Coturnix japonica: one gene and its partners. The protein of the gene in region 6 interacts with the protein of the main gene of each other region in a pairwise test. Links are inferred from orthologs where the notes say so. Each region holds a gene or a part of one and is shown on either strand. Other genes may lie near its edges. The genes, in order: KHDRBS3, BEND7, FBXO7, PAK5, RBFOX2 and PSMF1.

Evidence for each region.
Region 1: the proteins of PSMF1 (region 6) and KHDRBS3 interact in a two-hybrid assay, tested with the Homo sapiens proteins (2 studies listed by BioGRID and IntAct). The link is inferred for Coturnix japonica from reciprocal best matches to the Homo sapiens genes PSMF1 and KHDRBS3.
Region 2: the proteins of PSMF1 (region 6) and BEND7 interact in a two-hybrid assay, tested with the Homo sapiens proteins (2 studies listed by BioGRID and IntAct). The two-hybrid records come from large-scale screens. The link is inferred for Coturnix japonica from reciprocal best matches to the Homo sapiens genes PSMF1 and BEND7.
Region 3: the proteins of PSMF1 (region 6) and FBXO7 interact in binary tests that used the Homo sapiens proteins (3 or more experiments, as listed by UniProt). The link is inferred for Coturnix japonica from reciprocal best matches to the Homo sapiens genes PSMF1 and FBXO7.
Region 4: the proteins of PSMF1 (region 6) and PAK5 interact in binary tests that used the Homo sapiens proteins (3 or more experiments, as listed by UniProt). The two-hybrid records come from large-scale screens. The link is inferred for Coturnix japonica from reciprocal best matches to the Homo sapiens genes PSMF1 and PAK5.
Region 5: the proteins of PSMF1 (region 6) and RBFOX2 interact in a two-hybrid assay, tested with the Homo sapiens proteins (2 studies listed by BioGRID and IntAct). The two-hybrid records come from large-scale screens. The link is inferred for Coturnix japonica from reciprocal best matches to the Homo sapiens genes PSMF1 and RBFOX2.

The regions. Positions count from the first base shown.
Region 1 is NC_029517.1:128,991,169-128,995,672, forward strand, and holds the start of KHDRBS3 (KH domain-containing, RNA-binding, signal transduction-associated protein 3), read left to right. Parts: upstream 1-1,552; 5' UTR 1,553-1,927; coding exon 1,928-2,015; intron 2,016-4,504. UniProt on the Homo sapiens protein: RNA-binding protein that plays a role in the regulation of alternative splicing and influences mRNA splice site selection and exon inclusion. Binds preferentially to the 5'-[AU]UAAA-3' motif in vitro.
Region 2 is NC_029516.1:6,076,154-6,079,932, reverse strand, and holds part of BEND7 (BEN domain-containing protein 7), read left to right. Parts: intron 1-1,355; coding exon 1,356-1,621; intron 1,622-3,779.
Region 3 is NC_029516.1:48,686,353-48,690,704, reverse strand, and holds the start of FBXO7 (F-box only protein 7), read left to right. Parts: upstream 1-1,427; 5' UTR 1,428-1,628; coding exon 1,629-1,750; intron 1,751-2,982; coding exon 2,983-3,280; intron 3,281-4,352. UniProt on the Homo sapiens protein: Substrate recognition component of a SCF (SKP1-CUL1-F-box protein) E3 ubiquitin-protein ligase complex which mediates the ubiquitination and subsequent proteasomal degradation of target proteins and plays a role in several biological processes such as cell cycle, cell proliferation, or maintenance of chromosome stability.
Region 4 is NC_029518.1:12,079,638-12,083,416, reverse strand, and holds part of PAK5 (serine/threonine-protein kinase PAK 5), read right to left. Parts: intron 3,393-3,779; coding exon 3,345-3,392; intron 2,349-3,344; coding exon 1,857-2,348; intron 1-1,856.
Region 5 is NC_029516.1:47,483,380-47,487,158, forward strand, and holds part of RBFOX2 (RNA binding protein fox-1 homolog 2), read left to right. Parts: intron 1-1,755; coding exon 1,756-1,809; intron 1,810-1,945; coding exon 1,946-2,038; intron 2,039-2,616; exon of another isoform or gene 2,617-2,684; intron 2,685-3,097; coding exon 3,098-3,230; intron 3,231-3,779. UniProt on the Homo sapiens protein: RNA-binding protein that regulates alternative splicing events by binding to 5'-UGCAUGU-3' elements. Prevents binding of U2AF2 to the 3'-splice site.
Region 6 is NC_029535.1:9,164,938-9,167,817, reverse strand, and holds the end of PSMF1 (proteasome inhibitor PI31 subunit), read right to left. Parts: intron 2,037-2,880; coding exon 1,878-2,036; intron 1,743-1,877; coding exon 1,691-1,742; 3' UTR 526-1,690; downstream 1-525. UniProt on the Homo sapiens protein: Plays an important role in control of proteasome function. Inhibits the hydrolysis of protein and peptide substrates by the 20S proteasome. Also inhibits the activation of the proteasome by the proteasome regulatory proteins PA700 and PA28.

The DNA of each region.
Region 1 (4,504 bases), on a different chromosome or scaffold from region 6:
TACATCCTAGTGAATTTCACTTGAGAATACAATGTACAATACTTCTTATGTGCAAGTTTTGATTTTCAACAGTAGGATAAAATGTGGTAATTTTACGCTTCATACATTACTATAGACCTGATGAAAAACAACTCTACAGACATCCAGTAAGTCTTTTTGTATTTCAAGTCAGGGAGAATTGTTATACTTTGGGAAGAAATACTGTGGCTTTCTGAAACATCAAATGTTTATTTAATCAGGTACTAGGAGGAATATGACTTTTTCCAAGAAAAGCACGCTGTATTTTATGCCATTTCTATAATATATCTACTTTTCTTTCTGAGGTTCTGTTTGCTGCAGAGGGACTGTAAATACATTTTTAGTTTTACTAGCAGAGGTAGGGATTATTTTGCTCCAGGTCACTCAATAAAGATTGCACTCCTACATATTGTCCTGTGTCACCTTCTCCCTCTTTCACAACAGATGGCTGCCTTTCAGGAGGTTTTTCTTTTTTTATATAGAAGATTTAGATGGAGGATTGAAATAAAAAACTCATTACAACCCAACTTTCTGCAGTTGCTCGCGTGTTTGTTGTCTGCTCATACGCCTGTCAAGTTTGATGTCATGCAGGAGAATATTCAAGAATATATATTTTTTAGTACATCTATTTCTGGTTCTTGTTACTGCTGGGTCAGATTTATTTGGAAGGGTCGGAAGGAGAATGTAAATCAAACAGACGTTATACTGTAGCACAGCAAACATTGTTTTATGTGGCATTCCAGTCCATAAAATAGAACAAGAAGCAAAGTATCTCCTGTTTGAAAGGTGAAGGAGCACACGGAGCTCTGAGGAAGGAGCCTTAACCTTTTAACTCGGAGTGACTTCTCTTACATTTTTACAGGGCTTTCTGTCCCCGTCTATGACTAAAAAGAGGATATGATTAAAACCTACTGCAAATCTATTTGGCATGAAATACAAAAGGCAGCGTGAGATGATTATGATCACAGAGACAAACCACTTCTATCTCTAAGGTTCCTTCCAACCCGCACGAGACTATTACTATACTATTACTATTACTATTACTATTACTATTACTATTACTATTACTATTACTATTACTATTACTATTACTATTACACTTTCGGTGGCCTTTCATTGGGTGAAAGCCAAAATTCAGCGTGGTGATTTCAGCTACAGTGATTTGGTCCCCTTTGTGCCGTGTTACAGAGGAGGACACACGTCCTTGCTTCCCGTGGGCTTTGTCACTGCGTGAACAGAACGACCACTATTTGGGGGGAGAAAATAAGTTAAAATCGTGCTTTTGGTTCTCATTTAACAACCAAAATCCTCCCCTTTCGTATGTACCCGATGTACCCAATGGGAGTCGGCACAGGAGCAGGCGGGGCGACTCGGCGGGGGCTGAAGCAGCACCGCCCATAGGGAGGGCAGAGCACCGCCCATAGGGAGGGGCTGTGTGTTCGGGGAGGGGCTTAGGGCGGTGTGGGGGCGGGGCCTGTGCGGAGGTATTTAAACCCGGGGCAGGGGAATTTGTTCGCTCAGTTGGTGCGGTGCCGTGGAGGGTGTTTGTTGTGTGTCTGCTGTCTCTTTTGTTTTTAACACGCTTTTCTTCGGCGCCCGTGTGTACACGGAAGGGGCGCGTCCCGGCTGGGCTCGGCGGCTCTCGGAGCCCCTTTTTATCCGTTCTCCTCCGCCCCGTGCGCTTCCACTGAGGGATTTCTTCGCGTCCCGCACCCGGGGGGCCGCCCCCCTTCCTTTCCCTTCCCCTCTCGGCCGGAGACTCGCGGCGCTTCCCTCTGGATGCGTCCCCGCAGCCCCAGGCGGGAGGCGGCCGGGGGGAAGCGCTGCCTCCAAGGATTTACCGACCCAACCCCGCGCCATCTCCTTCCCCGCGGGCGCTCCGTTACCGCCCCGGACCTCTACCGCCGTTATGGACGAGAGGTATCTGCCCGAGCTGATGGCGGAGAAGGACTCGTTGGACCCGTCCTTCACGCACACCCTGCGGCTGGTCAACCAAGGTGAGGGGCGCGGCGGGCGAGCGGCGGCGGCCCCTTCCTTCCATCCTTCCATCCTTCTATCCTTCCATCCTTCCGCGCTGCTGGAAGTTTCCGCGGAGACGCCCGACGCGGAGGGGCGCGGAGACCGCCCACCGTCACGGCGGCGATTTGTTCTATATCCTATGGCTGTTGCTGAGGTGCTGCCCGGCTCCTGAACTCCCCCCCCCGTCCTGCCCGCGGGTGACTGAGGGCGGTTTCCTCTAGCCCTGCTCGGGTCTGAGGTGCTTTAAATTATAGTGTTCCGAGTTGAGCTGCTGTGTAGGATGGGTTGAAGTTTTGGGGCAGTTAAGCCCGTGGGTGTTTCCCTCTTTCACCCTCCAGCGTAATTAGCTTAGTGGTTGTAGACGTGTCCCAGTTGGACAGAGCCTGCATCTTTGTTTCGGATCTGCTGCCACTGTAACTCCAGTATTAAAGAGCAAACAACGCATTTGGTTGCCTTTACCCAAAACAGTGAACATGCTTCTTTTCAAATACTCAGCTCCAGATAGTCCCAGTGATCCCTGTGCCTCTGACACGTCCTGTCGTACTGGCTCTTTGTTTCAGTAATGCTGAGTAGAAAAGCAGTGCCATGTGACCTGGGCTGTGTGGCTCGGTGTAAATCACCTGCCCGTTACACATCTCTGTATTTACAAGTCCTGCTCTGTATTTAGACACTCTGAACGTTTAGCATGCTGGATTGAAGCAAGTTAGGGACCGGTCTTCCAGTGTAACTCAGTGGCAGCTAAATGTTTATTGCTTCAGTTGAAGTGATAGCGTAGCTGTATGATGTACTGCATGCTACAGGGATAGGGCTACATCAGTGTGACTTCTTCCAGTGCACTGACATACTGCTTGATGTGTAATGGACTGCAAATGCCAGCCTTTAAATTGGAAGGAGACTCAACTGCTGTCCAAAATGTTCTGGTGTTACTGTTAGTTTCAGCTGTGGAATGTGTATACTGGGTGACTTGCAGCTGCCTGCCCTTGGGCTGTTGACATTCTGCCTATTTACTCCCATTTTGATTTTGTCTAAGTGCCACTGATAGCGAGAGAAAGCTCTTTGTTAACACAGCTCTCTATTTCCGTGTTCCCTATTAAAGAAATGCTAAAAGCTGACTCGATGGCTCAGAATTTAAGGCTGCAAGTTAGTGAAGTTACTTTAAGTTAATACTGGCAGAACCTTTACACAATTTGTACAAGTTGTAGACGTATGTAAATTATTTCCAGTATTCTTTATAGAAGTACATACAATTCTCCAGTTATTACTGCAGAATAATCACTTTTGTAAGCTGATAGATTTTGGAGTTCTCATTCAGATGGGCAATTAGGAGGCAGAAATGTCTACCTGCTTTTATTGTATAATACTTGTACCTATCTGCATACCTGTGGCTCCAAGAACAATTAATGTATTCATAGATAGGAAAGTGGATGGTTGTGGTTCTAACCTCTTTATTTTAGTCTCCCTGAAATTTTTGCCTATATTGGAAGTCTTGCCTTAAATGTGATTAAAGTGTTCACATGTTAGGTAAAAAACCGAAGCAAGACAACTATCAGCCAGTTAACTGTAGTTTAAAATGTATTTCATTAGCTGCTATCTAAAACCCTTTTAGGCAGTTGTACAGTTGAAGAACCAAGTGAGGTGAGTTGAATGTCTAATAGAACTGAGAAACTCACTGTTTTGAGAAAAGATGTTTAACAGAACTTTATCAGTGGCTGGTTCATTTATTTCAGTTGATATTCACAGTTAAGTGAGTACAGTCATTAGTGGCAAAGTGTGTTATTTTTGCTTGTTCTTCATATGCCAACTCCAGTGAGTTCTTTCTGTGATAAAACAGCAAGGCAGATTAAGTGGCTTGTAGTGTTTTTTTTTAAAGCTGAAGTTGCTTAGTTTCTCGGTTTAGAATGAAGCATGTTTCAGAGTTCAGCTTAGCCTAGGTGTGTGAGAGCGTCTTAGCAGTGGCTTTAGGTGCTTAAAATAACTAGCTTAATTACGTAATGGTGTTTTAATGTCTTAAGAGTGTTACATATAGGATTTGCATTTACTTTAACTGAATAAACTCAGGATTGATGCTTGGGAATTCTATGGTTGAACTTGCAGATCTTCCTGAGATTCTCCACCCGCACTTCAGTTGCTTCAACACCAACAGAAGAGCAGAGTAGCTGAAATAACTACCCATGCTGAAACTCAGCTTCTAGGCTAGGGAAAAGTGGCCTGTATATAGACTTCCAAAAATCTGTTAATTACAGCTTTCGCACAGAAGTGGACACATTTGCATGTTACGCTCATAATTACAAACTATAATTTGGATACATACAAATTACGTAATTGCAAATGATACAGAAAGAGCTCGACATGCTTTGTTGTTTCAGAGGAGTCACTTGAAACACAATACAGAGATGACTAGGATGCTGCCGGAATACTTCTATAGGCAGTGCTGTTGGTCTCTAGGGATTGAGGTGTCTGTCTCCTC
Region 2 (3,779 bases), on a different chromosome or scaffold from region 6:
TCAAACATTTACAAAAAAAAAAGGACACGAAGGCCCAGTATTACAGTCCTGGCTGGGGCAGGGAATTCTTTGCACACTGATTGCACTGATATTATGGGCCTGATTAAAAATGACTTGTGAGTGAGAGGTACAGACTGGACTTTAAGCCTGAAGAGCTGGTTCCTTGATAGCAAAAGCAGTTCTGATTTACTATATATCTACCCTGTAAACAGTTTGTGAATCTCTTAATGCAAAGGCCAGGGTGTAGTTCATATTTTCTGATACATATGGAAAAATAGCTTTGTAGAGAAAAGAAAATGTTTGGTCTTTTTTGTTGGTAATAGAAAAAACAAAAAGAAAAATGCAAACATGTATGTGAAGGTGTAGTAGCTTCCTTTGGTATTCAGAAGGCCTTCTGTCCAAATGCTAAATGAAAAATTGAAGCATTGTAAGTTGTTATTGGAAATGAAGTGCGCAAGAAATCATTCAATAACCAGTGCAATAAGGTTTCTTTTTTTCCTCAGTCTTTGCAGATGAGGACAGTTTAGTATTTCACTTGTAGTTCGGAACGATTTGAGTGTGGTAAAACAAAGATGTATAGCGCTTCAGATTTCTTTTTCATTTTGCCTTTAATCTTATTAACTGATTCAAGGAGACAAGTCATTGTGTCTGCGGTGTTCTGTCACATTGGTGTGGGTTCAGGACTGGTGCCTTAATGTGTACAAATGACTGTGGATGGTGGGTACCAGAAAATGTGAAACATTGATAAATATAAAATATGATCACTTAGGTTTCAATTGTAAGATGTGAGCTGTCAGCTTCTGTGTATGAGCAAAAAAAACCCATCTGATAGAACTGTGTGACTTCCTTCCTAAAAATTAAACTATTGAAAAGTGTTTTCACTCATTCTTGACATAATAATATTTGAAATGTTCTTGCTGAACTAATTAACTTGGTGACTATGCTCAGAAAAATAACTAATTGCATTCACACTTGTGCTGTTTTGGAGAAGATGCTCAAAAGACAGTGAGATTTTCAGTCATTCAAGAGAGCATACAAATTAATTGTTACTTAAGCCCTCCATGTCACTGACCATCCAGTGGTCAGAAGGAAGAAGAGCCGTGTATTTCTAATTTTCATCAGTGTGTCTTTCAATACCTCATACTGGAGCTCGGTGTCATTATCTCCATTGTACAGACAGGAAAATTATGCAAAGGAGATAAAATGTAACTATTCCACATGCACAAACAGCACTGAAAACTACACCATTTATCCAGAGGATGAGTTCAGTGTGCCTGTAGTTTAATGGTGTGTCTGTGTGGTTATACACGTTTCTTTGTCTATAAATTCAATTCATTACTTTTTTTCTCATTCAGTTGGGACTCAAAACAGACAACAACCTCCTGTTCCTCTGATTTGTGCTCAGAAGTCGACAATATCAAGAAAGAGAAATAAAAAGAAAAAACTACCCCTCAAAACTGGTGAGCCATTTACTATGAATAAGAAAACCAGTGCTGCTGAGAATGATAAGAAGCTGTCAGCGACCCCTGAAAGTTCCAGTCTACAAGCAATTGAACCCTCTCTCAACATAGAAACCCCTCTTACGGGATTTGGAATTATCCTTGAATCAGCTTCATCAGATGTAAGTTATATTTCAATACATTGAATCACAGGTTTTTAAAGCACTGATCTGGGAAAACATGTACGCATGTCAGCTTGAAATGTATCCCGTCTTCATGCTGAATAAACAAGAAAACCTTGGGTAGGTTGGAATGGAGACAGGTGCCTCAGTTTGGATAGTTTTGTTCTTGTTCTCCAGCTTTCTCAAACATGAAGTTCAGTCTTAATTCAAAGCTTCCTGTTGTCTGAGCTTGCAATGGAAATTTGTTCTTCATCTTTCCTGGTCCCAAGAGCCACCATGAGATCAGGAAAGTTCTACGTGTATAACCAGTTCCAAACCTCTGTCATTTATTGACTAATTCAGGTAGTTCACTTGTATGCCCTTACCCTACTGGCATGTAGTCATACACTTTATTTTATGACTGGCTGGTTCTGCTGGCTTCAGAGGTCTTCTCACACCCATAAAACTCATAGCTGAGTCTGCTGAACTGGGTCCTTTAGTCTTCAGTGTTGTGGTTGCTAGATAAGTGCCTTGGCACTGTTGATAATTTCACTGTAACTAAAAGAGCCAAAATTTCTTGCTTTTAAAACATGTACTTGTCACATGTAAAACTGCACTAAGCCTGCTTTATTAATTCACATAACATGTATGCATCAATAGAAACTTCATGTGTTAGGTGGCTGATTTGCCTTGTTTAATGACCAGACAGATGTTGTCTGAACAGTTCACTGATGAGTAAACCCATCATTAATTACTCTAATATATTTTTAATTTTGAGGAGGTAATTTCCAATTTTGTAAATACCGTGAGATAGAAAAGTGTAATTAAATTCAGCATCAGTAAGCGTAAATGAAAACAATTCTGCAGATAATGTTCTACCTTTCTGAAAGGGGGAGCTACTAATGTAAGAGAGCAGTGGTGATAATTCAGTCATACAGATGCAAGCCACACCACTAATTAGGTTGCAGTCTGATGCCATAGGGTCTCTGTAGTGATACGAGGTAACTAGTTCCATGCATTCACTGGGCTTTCTCAGAGTTCCTTTTGTAGTATGATACTTCCCAATGTTTGAGGGAATGTTCTGGGGTGAGGCCAATTATTTATCACCAGTGTGTTTTTCCTGCTTGCACTTTGTCTTTGCTCGTGGCACTCTTTTCAGCTTGAAACATAGTTTTGAAAGCAGTGCTTTTGTTTTGTGCTTGCAATGGAATTTAATTTGACATTATGAATGTGTTTCATTGCTGGGCACAGTCCTTTGTAGATGCCAATTTGAACTTAAGAAAGAACAGCAAACGTGCGCTTCATAAATCAGATCTTCATCTGCCCTCCCGTGCTTCAGACTGCATGTGCCACAGTAGTTGTTTGAATAGTTACAGAACTCCAAGACAAACAAATTGACTTTTGTTTTGCCTTTGGAAATAAAATCATTGAGTTCTGAAAAGAGATATATTTAACAGTGAAAATAAAATGTGACCTTAAACGTTTTGAGCAAGCTAAATAAAGTCATTTCTTTCTGAATGAATGGCAGTATTATCTTTTTCTGTTTAGTCATAAGGATTTCTTGTGTGCTCACTACCAGCATGTCTGAGTGCCTAAGGAAACTGGAAGACATTTTGCATAGCGCTGTAATTTAATGTTCTCTTTACGATATTGCATGGGTCGTGGGGTCATACACAGTACTGCTGCCACTGTAGTTTTCCCAGTGTTCAGTGAACTTTAAGGTCGTAGAATAATCTGAGTTGGAAGATATCATGGGTTTGAAGTATCACTGAGTCCCGGCTCAACACAAACCACCCCAAATCCCAACCCAGTGTCTGAAAGCATTGGCCAAACACTCCTTGAACTCAGCTCAGGGCTGTGCCTGCTGCCCTGGTCAGGCTGTTCCATGCACACTGCCCTCTGATGCAGACCCTTCCCTAACACCCCCTGCCCCTCCCCTGACAGCTCCATGCTGTTCCCTCAGGTCCTGTTGCTGTCACAGAGAGCAGGGCTCAGTGTCTGCCCTGTGAGTCCTCCCCTCTGTCTTCTTTGGGCTGAACAAACCAAGAGACCTCAACCACTCCAATGCACCTTATCCCCCGGACCCCTCACCATCTTTGTAGCCCTCTAATAGTTAGCTGTCCTTTTTGTGCTCTGGTGCCCAGACTGCACCCAGTGCCAGGAGGTGAGGCCACACAGC
Region 3 (4,352 bases), on a different chromosome or scaffold from region 6:
TCTGTGCTGGAAACACCTATAGCTGCAGTGCCTACACAGAACTCGTTGATGATAGATAATTATGTTGAAAGGCAGTTGTCTGATGAGCTGATGGTAAACAAGAACACACTTTCCACTGTTCTAACCCATTTAGTTTGCATTTCTGACCTCTATAACTGTCCTGTCCTAGTACCTGAACCTGGACTACTTGATTCACTTTTAACAAAGTTCATTTAACAAGTCAGTGCTCTCACAGTGCATGCTGGCCTCACAGCTAAGAGTTGCAAAGGTGCTGCTAATGCAGAGATACCAAACTCTGTTTCTGAGGTGTCACTTCAAAGAATTTTGCTCTGCATGTAGCTCAATAGTGATATATATAGCACGTAGTTCAATAGTGAAAAGGATTATATAAAGAACAAAAGTGTTAAGGTGCTTGTGAGACGTAGTTTGATCTACAAGGACCTTAAGATTTCCTTGATAAACTTATAAACTCTTATATAGGACAAGATTGCCTAAGATATCTAAGATCATATATTCTGTGATTCAGGTTCCTCTCCAATCTGAGGTTCTCACATCATAGCTGACAGCATTGGAACAAAGACAGTATAGCAGCCAATTGGTCCTGAAGGATGTTCTGAAGGACATTTCCGATTCAGACACCTCTGTCATTTTTTTTTTTACAGCCTCCAGTAGAGGACTACATTGATGTTTGGTCAAGAATGATGAAGGAAAGCAATAGAAATTATACTCCATATGGAGTATGGATATTATAGAATTATGCTCCATATGGAGCACATATTTTCATCAGGAGTAGAGCAGTTAAAAGCCACAAAAAGAAACGTAGGATGCTGCATAAGGGCCAGCAGCCAACCTGAGATGTGAAGCAGAGCCTCGATAAAGGTATTAGCTATACAACACTAGTATAAAGGAAGATTAAGGTTAGATGTTAGGAAACAATTCTTTACTCAGTAGGCAGCGCTGCCCAAAGGTCTGTGGGTGCCCCATGACTGGAGGCATTCAAAGCTGGGTTGGATGGGGACCTAAGCAGCCTCAGCTGGGGAGTGGCAGCCCTGTGCATAGAAAGGGGTGGGAAATCAACAATCTTTGAGGTCTCTTCTGACCTAAACCATTTTACGATTCTACGATTTCAATACTTTTTTTGTAGAGTGCCTTGCCCAGCCTGAGCTCAGTTTGATACTTGATTACTGGAAACTGCAGAAATGGTCACAATGCTGAAGAGATACAAAACACTCCAGCCAACCTTCTCCAAGACTCAGGAGAGCGGTTCCTGACAGGCACAGCGCTCGCAGTGCCCTCACTGCACTTAGCTGCCACGGCGCTCACAGCCACCTTCCCGCCTCATACCTCCCCGCCACGGCGCGCCACCCGTGCGCATGCGCAGCAGCGACCCGCTCGCGCCGCACCACGGGCGGCGGCCATCTTGGCACACCGAGCAACCGCTCCTCGGGCAGCGGGGGCGGGGCCGGCCGGAGGCGGAGCCGGCCGGGGGCAGAGGCGGCGCCGCGCCAACCCAAACACCGCCACGCCCCGGCAGCCCTTGCGCCCGCTGCCCGCCACCATCGTTAGCCGGCGGGGGCCCGCTCGGAACGTCAAGCGGGCGGAAGCGCGGCCCCGCCGGCCCCGCCGCCATGAAGCTTCGCGTGCGGCTGCAGAAACGAACGGCGCCGCTGGAGCTGGAGGGGGCGGAGCCAACGCTGGGGGAGTTGCGCGCGCAGCTCCGCCGGGCCCTGCTTCCAGCCTGGGGCTACAGGTAGCGCGCGGAGCGAACCATCCCGCGGCGGCGGGGGGGCGGCCGGGAGCGGGGCCGAACCACGCGGGGTGGGGTCGGGGCGGCCCGGCCCGTTTCTCTTCCCTAACCCACCCCTGGCCGAGACGTGGCGCTGCCGCCCCCTGTGGGGAGAGGTCCGTGGGAGCTGTGCGGGGCCTGGCCACGGGTTGGGAGAGGCGTCCTCTGTCGCACGGGAGCGCAGTGCGAACGGTTGTGAGGTGAAACTTAATAAAAACTTAGAAAAAGTTTTGCTCCAGTGTACCTGGAGAGCGAATCGGGGGGGAAACTTCAAACTGTAATTATTTCCTCACTTTTGCTGTAGTGTATTGCTGAGTGTTACTGAATGACAGAATTGTAGGGCTTGACATTCTGTACGGTGTGGTGGGGACTTCTGGAGATCATCTAATCCAATGCCCTGCTAAAGCAGGTTCCCTACAGTAGCATATACAGGAAAGCAATTGGGTGGGTTTTGAGTATCTCCAGAGAAGGAGATACTCCGCAACCTTTCTGGGCAGCTTGTTCCACTGCTCTGTCACACTCACAGTAAAGAAGTTTTTCTTCATGTTCACGTGGAATTTCCTATGTTCCGGTTCGTGTCTGTTGCCCCTTGTTCTGATGCAGGCCACCACTGAAAGGAGCTTGGCCCCATCCATTTGACTCTTATCAGCATTGATAAGATTTCCCCCTCAAGACTTCTCCAGGTGGAACAATCCCAAGGCTCTCAGCCTTTCCTCATATGGGAATGCTCCATGCTTTCCATCTTCTCAGTGGCACTCTGCTGGGCTCTCTTAGAAGTTCCCTGGCTTTCTTGAACTGGGCTGCCCAGAACACAGTACTCCAGCAGGGCAAAGAAGAGAGGGAGGATGACCTCCTTTGACTTGCTGGCCATGCTCTTTGCAATGCACCTAGGATGCTGTTGGCCTTTGGGCCACAAGGGCACACTGCTGGCTCATGGCCAACCTGTTGCCCACCAGGGCACCCAGTTCCTTCTGCTGCAGAGATCTTTTTCAGTAGGTCACCCCTCACCTGTTCCAGTGCATGCAGTTATTCCTTCCCAGGTGTAGGACTCTGTGCTTGCCCTTGTTGAACCTTACTGATAGATTAGAACCCAAAGGAATAACATTTGTAGAACATAGTATGCTTTTCTAACTATACCTCTGTGTACAGCTACTCAAATGCAGCTAACCATATTTCCTTATTCTGTTATTTTACAGTTCTGATACAGAGTTTTCAATAACGTTGAATGGGAAGGATGCTCTTACAGAAGATGAGAAGACTTTAGTTTCATATGGGATAGTTCCTGGTGATTTGTTATGTTTATTACTAGAAGAAACAGATGCCAAATCCAGCCTACCTCCTCCCTCATCTTCTAATCCTCCCTCACTTCAGAATGGTCATGAGATATCCACCTTAACTCCCAAAAGTCAGGCTGACAGTCCAAAAGAAGAAAGGCAGAATGAAGAGTCTGACAACCAGAAATCTCAAGCGGAAGCTCAGAAAAGTGACAGTAGGGTAAGCACGTGAGAATTGACTTGACAAAAGACAAAAAATGAGGTATCTTACATCAGGTGATGCCCTGCATATCAAAGAATTGCTTCAGAATATTTGACTAGTTCTGACTGTCTGATAATGTAACCAGTTATTTGGATGGAAAGCTGTCTCCATCATTACTTGTTATGTCCTGGTTCCAAGTTCTAGTGCCTCAGTGCTACCTTGAAAAAAATTACTTGAGGTACCACACAAATGCAGCAAATACTGAAATATCACTCTCACGTTGAGCATGTGTGATTCCATTCTCGTGGTTATAGCAGTTTTCTAGGATTCAGATGGCCTGCTTGGAATGAGAGATCTGTCTATCTTGTGCATGAAGTTTAACAGTGCTAAGGTAGCATTGTGCTTCAGAAGTGTACATTTGTATGAAGCCACAAACCTGTTTCCAGTTAATAGACATGTCTTATGCATGTTTTGCAGTGATTTGTTTGTGACTGTAGATAGAACAGTTAAGCAGACAACTGCATCTGCCAGCTGCTAGTTGTGTGGTGAAAGTGGTTTTTCTAGAAGAGACCCCTAGGTGCCGTGCTGCTTGGTGCCTGTCTCATTATTTGATTTTGTCCCTTCCTAGACAGGAGCTTGAGAAGATGTTTATTTGTTCTTTGATTTTGGATTAATTGTCAAATACAAAATATCACTCGCTCCGACCTTCATATGAGAAATATTGCCAAACATATGTATAAGGTATTGTTTCAAAGTACAGGAATTAAGATTTAGGATCCAAAGAATTCTGAGTAGTGAAGGAGAATGTAGTTGGACCGTTGTCCCATTGATTCTTGCCAGGAGCAAAGCAGCATTAGTACATTGGTGCTGTGGGCATGCAAGCCCATGCAAGAAAGGAAATGACAATAAAGCCACAGTCTTCTTGAAATGTCAGCAAATGCTTTCTGTTAATGATTATTTTAGCTATTTAAGCCTATTGCATTTCTAAGGAGTCTGAGTTAATCATGTTGGTTTCTTGCTATGCACGTTGAAGTACCACAATAATTGTTCCTTTAAGTGTTGCAAGAATTCTGACAAATGTTTAATAATT
Region 4 (3,779 bases), on a different chromosome or scaffold from region 6:
AGTAAGGATCTTTAGTTGCTGAACTGTAAGTGGCAGATAATTGTGGGGATTTTTTTTCCCCCGTACTGCAGGACTAGGACTGGTTATTTCATTGCTTTCTTACTGCCAGCTGCTTTCAGTACAACATTTAGATCCAATCAGCTGCTCAGCTCAAAGTCGTCTTTATCATCAGGCAGCAAACTGTACCTTGCACATTACTTTAACAGAAAGCTGGTGATACTGGGCCTATTCATCTCCCAGCCCCCAGCAGGGGGTTGGAACTACATGATCTTTGAAGTCCCCTCCAACCCAAGCTGCTCTGTGATTCTAAGACTCAAAGGGATCTGAGGCCCCTGGGTCACAGACCACAGCAGAGGTAATAAAATGGGAAGAAGAGCACACAGGTCAGCGCTCTGTAGTTGTCATCAGAATGGCAAGCATTGGAATAATTAATATCTTGAGGCCTGGTGGACAGCTGACCCTGCTCTATGGGTGCCAAGACAGCTCAGGCACCTGTGCCTCACACCAGCCTGGTTCAGTAATTCTTTGAGCACAGTGCAATGCTGCATCTCAGCATCTACAGCCCTTCCTTTGTGAAGGGGATTCATTTGTAGGAATTTCTGTACCTGTGAAATTTCCTGAATTCATTTATCTCCATAGACAACTGTATTTTGTTTTAAGTTCTAATACTTCGAATTACTGAGTGTACTGCTGTAACAATGGAAAATGCAGCAATGACAGTGTAGTAGTAAAGCCCTATGCTGCAGCAGGGGAGGATATGCTCAAATTACACAGCTATGGACACAGAAACACCCCTGGAAGGCCTCAAGCACACAAGGATCTCCAGTCAGATCCTTGTGCCTCCCCTGCCAGCTCTTAGATGAGGTCTGGGAAGGGGTGGATCCTGGCTCCAGCCCTTCTGGTCACTCAGGAACATTGCATGCACCTGAGCTCCCCTGGGTTGGCCCTGCCTTCCCACCAGGTGCTCAATCACTGGTTCAGGCCGTGACACAGCATTTCTGCTACACGGAGGTTCTAAAACTAAATTTGGAGGAGAGCTGTTAGTTTGGGACAAAGGCTCTTCCAGAGTGTAGTCATGAAAAACACCGTGCTCCTGGAGAAAGCCTAAGGCAACACTAACAAAGCTCAAGGAGAATAAGTTCACTTGAATGATTACAGCTTCATTTCAACATTACCATAAAACTGATGCTGAGCCAGGCATATGCATACTTTGTATGAATGCTGTGAACTCAACCACCACATCTAGAAGTGAATATACAGGAGAGGGACCGCACTAACAACAGCTCAGCCAAGGTGCCGACAACTGCATGATATTGAGGGATGTTGGAGAGGGGACGGGGATAGAAAACATGAGGCAGGGAAGGCTCTAATTACCCTGTGTAGATAGAGGGAGGTGCTGAAAAGCAAAATGGATTGTCAGCTCTTTGCTTGCTAACCATCAAGAAAGGAAAGGGATCACAAATGATTAGGAGGGGAGGCAAGGAGAAAACAAAAAGCACCTATTTGCCAGAGTATGGCTTGTGTGCTTCTTCAGTGTTAAGGTCAGCTGGGATCCTCCATCTTAGCAGAATAAACTGTATCAGAAACGGTCCAAAGAAAGCAACCGGGCAGTGTCTGTGCACTCGATAAGCTGTGTGGACCAGACAACAGATTTCTTAGCTGTTTACTGTGACTTCCCACCATGTTATTACAGGTTTAAAGCCAGGAGGAGATGTAGCTCATTTGAAACCGATCGGATTATTTCAGACACCATAAATGAGCACAGGACTCACCCCTCTGTTTTAGGAAAACATTAATTCGGCTTCATGGCCTCCGTTCAGATCACATCTTATGCCACACTGCCCACAGCAACGTACCTCATTGAACAGCAGCTCCCTCCTCTGCTGTTTCCTGAGATCCATTTTCTTCACAGCAACTTGCTTTCCCGTGTGCTTCTCGGTGGCGATGCAGACGATCCCTGTGGAGCCCTCCCCGATCTTGATGAAGCTGTCCAAGTACTCCCGGGGATCACCGGGGCTGACGACCAGCTGCAGGGCGGCTCTGAACTGTTCGTGGGACACCCTGGAGGGCTGCTGGTCTGAGGAGGAGCCCCAGCTGGGCGGGGGATAAGCACTTGATGTGATACTTGGGGAGCTGGGGTAGGAGGCGGTGGAAATATAGGGAGAGCTCGGCTGGAGAGATGGCTGGTGGTAGTGGGATGCTTTGTGGTAGACCAGAGGGTACTGGTAGCTGCTGCTGGAATAGCTGACTTTGCTTTGACTTTGAGGTAGCTTTACTGGGCCCCTTGGGTAGGTGTCTGATCCACAGAGTGGTGGGCTAACTACCAGCTGTGCTCGGTCGTAATCCACCTGCAATACAAAAGCAGAGGAGTGGACATGAGTGAAGAGCTGTGTTTCCAGCTGCCCGGCCGACCCTGACAGCTCCATTCTCTTTCTGCACCCTGGATATGCTCAGCAGGGTGCCAGCACAGCACGCTCCTGCATGGATTCGTTGTTCGGTGAAGGACACTGCCGCCTGCAGATTTATAGACCACTAGGTTGCATGCCCTCTCATCACTACTGAAATGAGGACAGTAAAGACCACTGGGTCTTCTGTATATCTCCTGTATCTCCCAGGTTCTCTTTTATGTCCATGAACCCATTTGGAGACATGGTAATCTTAGTTAAATAAAAGCATATGGTCCAAAGGAATGCATTTACTCTGTATTAGCAGTGCCCTGCAGGTCCTCTGGGCCATTTCTTCCAGTGAAGCTCCCTTTCAAAACAAGAAGCCCTTTCACAAACTGAAATTCATGCCTCTCCTTCCCATCACGAGTTTCTGGCTTTTGACTCTCACCCGTTAGTCCTCACTTTTGCGGAGCCACCGCAGAGCAGATACAACCCTCTCATCTTTTCTTTTTTTACCCTTTTCAGCCCTAAAATAGCCAGGCCTTCCCCACCATCCCCACAAGTGGTATCAGGGCTGCAGCATCCACGGCAGTGTAGCAGCATGGCGGGAGCACTGCAGACCATGGACAAACAGCAGAAGAGCACCAAATTCAAAGCACACGGATAAAACAGAGAGCTACAACTAGGGGAGCATGTAACCTGCTTGAGGTGAGAGATGCTCAGCGGAGCCTTCAAAGGGACTTTCTCCAAGCAAGTTAAAATGAGGAGACTAATCCAATACACCATTACTTAAGTCATTTTCCATAGTGACACCCTACTTAACTGCAGCATGGCAAAACTGCTCATTTTCATTTCAAATAGGAGACAATGGTGAGGAAATTATCCCAATGGGGGGCCTTTGTCATCTCAGGTTCCCTTCTTCCCTTGTATTTTCCCTAGCTCTTCTAAGCTACTCACAATGAAAGTCAGCAAATACTCTGCATTCATAAACAAAACTGTCTCCATCTGTGAAAAACAGAAAAGGATCTAAGTCAAAAAAATGCACCTGGAACAAAAGTATTAATTTCTTTTCCCAGGAAAGGGCATCTCCACGTTTATGACATAACATACGTGACTCCTGGCGGCAGGTGGGGCACTGAGGGGCTGGGGGTGGTCAGGCACAGGCTCATGATGTAGCACGATTACAAATAATTACGGCAATGAATTCATTTAATCAATCAATTTCCGCGGCGGCCCACAGAGGTGGACAGCGCAGCAACCCCGACACAGCTCACGGCAGCTACTATTGCTGCTGGCTGCCGGCCAGGAGTCCCTGATCCATGTTAGTTAAATGCACATTAATCTGAATTTGGCAGTGTAATCAAGGACCCAACTGAACTGTGAAATTGAATT
Region 5 (3,779 bases), on a different chromosome or scaffold from region 6:
GTGATTTTACTGCATAGGCACATATATAGCATTAAAAAGTCATTCTTCTCCTGTCTGAACTGAATGCTGCTTTGATAAGCATTTTGAATTTCAATCTTAGTCCTGAGCCAAGCAGGAAAAATTCTTCTTGGCCTGAAAATGTTCCTGAACAGCTTCAACAAGCAGGAAGCTTGTTGCATAGGTAGTTGCTTGTGCAAGAATCTCTTCTAATTACAACCTAAGATTCAGAAACAAGAAAATAAAGATTTTTTTTTGTGGTTCTGCTCCTGAGTTGTTGTGTGGCTCCTTGCAGATCATATAGTTGGTGGTTTTTTTTGGTTGTAGAACTGGGGAAGCAGGGACAGGCAGAAAGGTTGGGATTCTGGCTTTTAGTATTTGAAAGGAATTAGGAAATCTTATAGTGAAAGGCAGTACAACCATGTTACATGCGCATGAGAGGAAGGACAGAAATTGTGTATGGCTGTTTGGTATCAAAACCTGGTCTTAGGACTTGGGAAACGTGGTAACAGGAATATTGTGCCTTAGCAGCCTGCGGTGTTTGCTTTAAAACTGTGCAAGGGACTCGGTATTAGGCCAAGCATAAGGCATGCTAGCAAGTGGTGGTACAATTGTTTCAGTGTCACAGGGCCGATCCCAATCCAGTTATTGTTATCACTTGCATTAGTGTTTGCCAGCAAGGTGTGCAGTGCAGGACAGCTTGCCCACACTCACAGAGGAAGCATGCATTGCATCTCACTGGTTCACATGGGGGAGTGGTGTTGATGGGCTGCACCTCATGAGGTTTCTAGGCTGAGTAGGAGTGGTGAAAGTGCAGTGTGTGTATCAGGACTCCTAAAGCTAGATAGAGGAGAGGTTGGAATCTTTTTCAATAGAAATAGTTGTGTGATTGCTAGCTGAGCAGATACAGTCTTCCCTCCTCTTTCCATGCCAGCCCAGATCACGTTGTTAGTTCTACACCCATCTTTGTGTGCCCAAAGAGGAAGCTGGTAGGGATGGCAGACAGGTTTCTAGATCTGACAGGGGAACGTGCTCTTCCTCACTCCCCTTCCACAGTGGCAGGCCAGTGGTGGCTCCTTTAAGCATTATTCTCCTGTGTGTTTTGTGTTGATGACTTCAGTTCTTGCCAGTTATCCAGATGATATTAAAACCAGTTCTCTGGGAAGGCTTTCATCTGGAAAGGAGCGTAAAGATGATAGGAAACTCTAAAATAACACGGAGAGGAGCAAATGTGAGATGAGGAGAGTGAATTGCTTTTTTTGCAGTGCAGTCGTGCAATCCAGTTAGTGAGGAAATCTCAATCACTGATGCTTTTTAGATCTCTAGCAAATATGACAGAGAGGTGATTTGAGAATTTAAAGGTGTAAATTGACTTCCCTGTGGCTTCGGAGAGGTTTTTGGATCCACGTGAATGCGTGGAGGAGCTGACAGCATGGTTCACACAGGGAATGTAGGTCTGTGCGGTGCTCGCGGCAAGTACGTGTCTGAGGCAGTTGGCAATTCCCTCAGTGCCCTCCTGCAGGTCAGCTGGCGTTTGGCTGTTCCCTTCAGTACAGCAACCTACACCTAGACCTCGATGTTAGAAAAAAGCAGTTGGCCTCCATCTACACCAAGGGGGATTGTGGTGAAGCAGAAATTCGAAAGAGCTGCTGCATGTGAAGCTGGGGCGCATGCACAAGATCCGTTCCCTGTACCCACGCTGCCTGCTCCTTCTCTTGGTGTAGATTCTGGCATTCACTGCAGTCTTTGTTGTTTCAGGTTGGAAGTTGAGTCCTGTGGTTGGAGCGGTGTACGGCCCTGAGTTATATGCAGGTAGAGCTTCAGCAGACACTTCCACTTCTGCCATTTAACTGCAGTGGTGTTTGTTTATGTTCTCAATTTGCTGTTTCTTTATAACCTTTTTACGTTTTTGTTTTTGTTTTTTTCATTCTTTTTAAAATTAAATTAGCGTCCAGCTTTCAAGCAGATGTCTCGCTGGGCAATGACGCCGCAGTGCCCCTGTCAGGAAGGGGGGGTATTAACACTTACATTCCTTTAATCAGTAAGTAGCCCCCATTGGCCCCTCTCTTGTTACTGTGCTTGAGTTAACTATGACCTGTTTCCCTTCTTTTCTCCGGTCTGTACGATATATACTTGAAAGGATGGGTCTTGTCGGGAATGAGTTTACCTATAGCCCAAGTATGCTGCGCAGTGGCTGTAACCCGTTCATCTGCAGTTTTTCTGTACTATGAATGGGTTCATCTATGTGACAAGGAGGCTGCAGACCTAGGGGAGGGTGTGTGCAAGGAATAGGCCGTTCCCTTTATTTCCCTCCGCCCCTTGGGAATCAAAGAAACCAAACGGACAGTTCCTAAAGTACATATTAGACAAGCTGTCCAGCTTTGAGTGCACAGGGCCCCTTGGTGTGCACCTGGGTGCACACCAGGTTGGGTTCATGCCTCTCCACTTGTCCCTCTTGGTACCTACTCATGACGTGTCTGCAGATGCCTCTAGGGCTTCACGTCATTCCACGGTGAGCCAGCATCAAGTATAATAACGTTAAATGAAGAGGGGCTCTCAGTAAGCTGGCACTTTATGGGAAGTTTCTGCTGCTGTTATATGGGCTATCTTGTCTTTCAGGCTTTAAAATGAACATACAGAGGATTGGGTGGCAAAGAGTGGGAGGGGAAAGGAGGGAAGAGACTGATGTAAGTTGATTGACTTTAAGGGCCTCTTGACAAATTATTTTAAAGAGCCTCTGCAGTTTTGGAAGAGCCGCCTGCTATATTGATAGTAACTCTCTGCGCTTCTCGGACTCTAACCAGACTGCATGGCGGTGTCAGAGGGGGGGATTTGGACCCTGTTTGTGGTGGGTGAGGCATGCCAATGCATTAACCTCTTGCATGCCAAACCTCTCTGCAACCCCTCCTCCCTGAAAGGCCATGGTGTAGCAGGACGTATGTATACGATGCTTGCTGGGTTAGAAGCATGCCCCTCCGCAGGATTGATGCAAAACATCCCACCGCTGCGGAGCTCTTGTGTCACTTTGTTTGAAGCAGGCGGTTGTTCCCTGGGCAGGAGCTGGGATCCTTTTCACCTTCTCTCTTGTCTGTCTTTACAGTTCCAGGCTTCCCCTATCCAACTGCAGCCACTACAGCAGCCGCATTTCGGGGAGCCCACCTGAGGGGCCGAGGAAGGACGGTTTATGGGGCAGTCCGGGCAGTACCTCCTACAGCCATCCCTGCCTACCCAGGGTAAGCATTGGTCGCAAGAGCAGAGTGCTCTGCACAACCGTGTCAAATAATAAATTGGCTAACAAAAACGTAACTAAAATTGTTGGATGGTGAGAGTCAGGCTATTTGCTTAGCGCCAGAGTGTTCTGCATACGATGGCATCCAATGGGGGCAGTCCTAAATTTTGCTACATTAAGTTCATGCCTGAGAGAATGTTCAGTACTTGCAACAGCCTGAAGTGCTGATGTACTCCTTCTCAGAATTTCTCAATTCATCTTCTGGTATTTGTCATCCATTGACCCAATACATTGCAGCACTACTGAGAAGGACGCAAAGAGGGGTCTAAGATGTCCTAAAAAGTTACAACTCTCTGCACTCGTATTGTGGTTTTCTTGCCCAGGAATGAGGAATATTATCTCTTACCTTCATGCCTCACCATCTGGCAGTAGGACACAGAAGAGCCAGCTACCCACAATGGATTTGCTTTCTTTGTTGGAGACGGTTTAAAAAGGTTTAAAACAAAGATGAATCAAGTCCATTAATTTGAAGTTGGGAGTGTTTGGGATACCA
Region 6 (2,880 bases):
CCAAGAGCTGGGAGAACAGTGGGGACACAACAGGAGCCTCACCCTGCTCCAGTTCACCCACTGCCAAATCTCTATGGCCAGCCCCCACATGCACACAGTCTGGGGTTGCATACACTGCAACTCAGCTGTTATCAGCTGTGTTTGTAGGCGAAAGGGGGTTAAAAGGAAAAGCCTTAAGGGAAAAGGGAGAGAGGGGGGCACTTCCCCTTTTTATTTATGCCTATGCAGCTGCACGCAGTGTAACAGCGGTGTTCAGTGCCCTGGAGAGCCAATTACCACCAAACAAGGGCTGGGCCGTTCTCTGCTTAATTTTCTTAATAAGAGTCTCATCATCTCAGAAAAGCAATGCTGCTGAAGGGAAAGAACAAAGCTGGCTTCCAGCTCAAACCCACCACCCCAGGTAGGGCAAGCACAGACAGAACGGAGCTCCTAAGTGCAGCTTTGGGGCTCCTCTTCTTGTGTGGGGGAGATGAGGTGGCCAAGTGGGGCAGGGGGAATCACCCCCAACAACTGCCAACACAACACTGTTGTCAGATGTTTATTTCAAACTCATGAACATCCTTCCAAGAAATCAAACCACGATTAGAAAATATTCAACCCCTCAGTGGGTTCCAGCCCCAGAATTATCTCTCATGGGGAGCTGCAGGAAAGGGAGGGGGTCCCAGAAAGAGCTGAGAATCCTATGTCCCATGCAGGTCTTGTTCTTCCTCCACAAGCTGTTTGCTGGTGGCAGCACAGAGTCCAGCTGGGCAGAGCCACAAAAGTCTCATGCCACAGGACTGACAGCAGCAAAACATGTTCCTATAAACCTGCTGCAAAGCAAAGCTCTAAATCCTTCAGCTCCACCAGGCACAGAGAGACTGTGCTGGACCCAGAGTTCAGGTAGGCGCCCAAGCCCCCTCTGTTCCACCCCAACCCAACACAGTGCCCGATAGGCAGCCCTCCACACCGCCTGTGGGTTTGGCACACATCCCCAGGAATGAAGGACTACAGGGGGCCAAGTAATGCCAGGAATTCACTGTACGTCTCTTTTCATGCACATCAAAGGCTTTGCTGTTGGAGCCCTTCACATCCAGTGTGCATATCCATGCAGAAGCCCACCTGAGCCACTATTGGGGGTCTGCCCACACAGACCCTATGAGATGGGCTTTAAGCCCTCTGTGCTGATCAGCACTCTGTTGGGATAAAGAGCAAGAGAGAAACCATCTCTGCACTGGAAGCCTTCTCCAGCTGAAGCTTTCAGTGAGACTATTGCAGCTCCCCAGCATGGGAGTGGCAAGAAGCCAGCTCCCTCCTTACCACTGACTGCATGCGTAATCCCAGCAGCAAAAGCTATGCCACCCTGGAGAAGAAGAGGAGGAAACCTCAAAGCCCAGGGCTGCTCTCAGCACGCCACACTGCTCCCAACACTGCCCTGGCTCAGCGCAGGCCCGTGTCTGCTGTGTACCCATGGCTGGCTACTCTTGGAGGAGTAGAGAAAGAAATGGACCTACTGCCTCCTCTTTTGTTCTGTGCATATGGAAACCTTTATAGCCAGTCTGAAGCACAGGAGCATGGCCCTGAGCAGGGAGAGAAAATCGCTGCTGAAAAGATCAAAGTCCACCAAAGACGGGAATGAAGAGGGGAAAGTGCTCCTCGCTCCAGGAGACTGCTCCGGCTGCAGCTAGCTGAGAAACCACTCAGTGACTCCTCACATGAACATGTCATCATAGCCTGGAGGTGGGAGGTGGTCGGGATCTGGCCTAGAAAGGAATTTAGAACAAAGTCAAACCAGGAGCAAGAGCACAACCCTGGAAGGAGCAGCAGAGCAGGGGCAGACTGGGAGCATGCTGTGGTACTTGGCTGCAGTGGCAGCTCAGGCATAGCCATACACCTACCCGGCCCTACCAGCCCCTAAGGGGCCAAAGGGGTCGAATCTGGCTCCAGGTGGAACTGCTCCTGGGGGAAGGCGGCCGGGGAGACCTGCTGATGGGTCAATGCCAGGCTGCGGGAACCCAGACCGGAGAGGATCAACGATCATCCCACCACTCCGACCTCTGGGAAGAGGAAAGGCAGCAAATGAGATGAGATTGGCACAGAAGAGCAATGTACTCCTCCTGCACCCTTCCCAACGCTGCACCACAACACATGCTCAGCGCAGGGTGTTAACTGTAGCTTAACACTACACTGAGATGGGAGCCCTATGGCTGCAGCACACACACCTAACCCAGGGCACGAGCAAATATCCAGATCCAAGGCACCACCATACTGGCAAACTTTCATTCTAGCTGGAGACACGCAGAAGGAAGCAACAGCAGCAGCTTCCCTCTTCCCTCAAGTTCCTGCAATGAGCCCATGCAGAACACAAGCCATGGCTGCTAAGTCCCCAGTGGGCTGCTGACCATGCATCGGAGCTGCCGGCCCTCACTGCCACTTGTAGTCCCATCCCTGCTCCCCTAGGGGAGCACAGTGTTGCAAGAGCCTGCAGACCCTGCGAACCTTTCCAAAGCACTGCCTGGAAGTCATTTGCTGACCACGGCGGCTCCTCAGAGCTGCCCCATGCTGTGAGTGCCATTCCTCATCGTCGGCTTTATGCAAACTCGGCTGGAGTCTCTGGATAGCACTGCCATCATACAAGTCATTAACAACAGCGCTAATGAGTTCCATTACGCCAGGCTGGCTGCCCAGAGCGCCCCAGGACAGCCAGGCCCCAGGAGCATAAGCCTGGGAGTCTGGGTCTCTGGCCCCAGCGCTGACAGGTGTCAGCACACAAATCTGCTTCCACTTACAATAATTCCTTTGTCACTTACAGAGAAACTGTCAATGAAGAGCTGGAGGCAGTGGGAAAAACAGGGTCGTCCCCCCACAACTGAACCCCTTTTCCTCATGCTATCAGGTTTC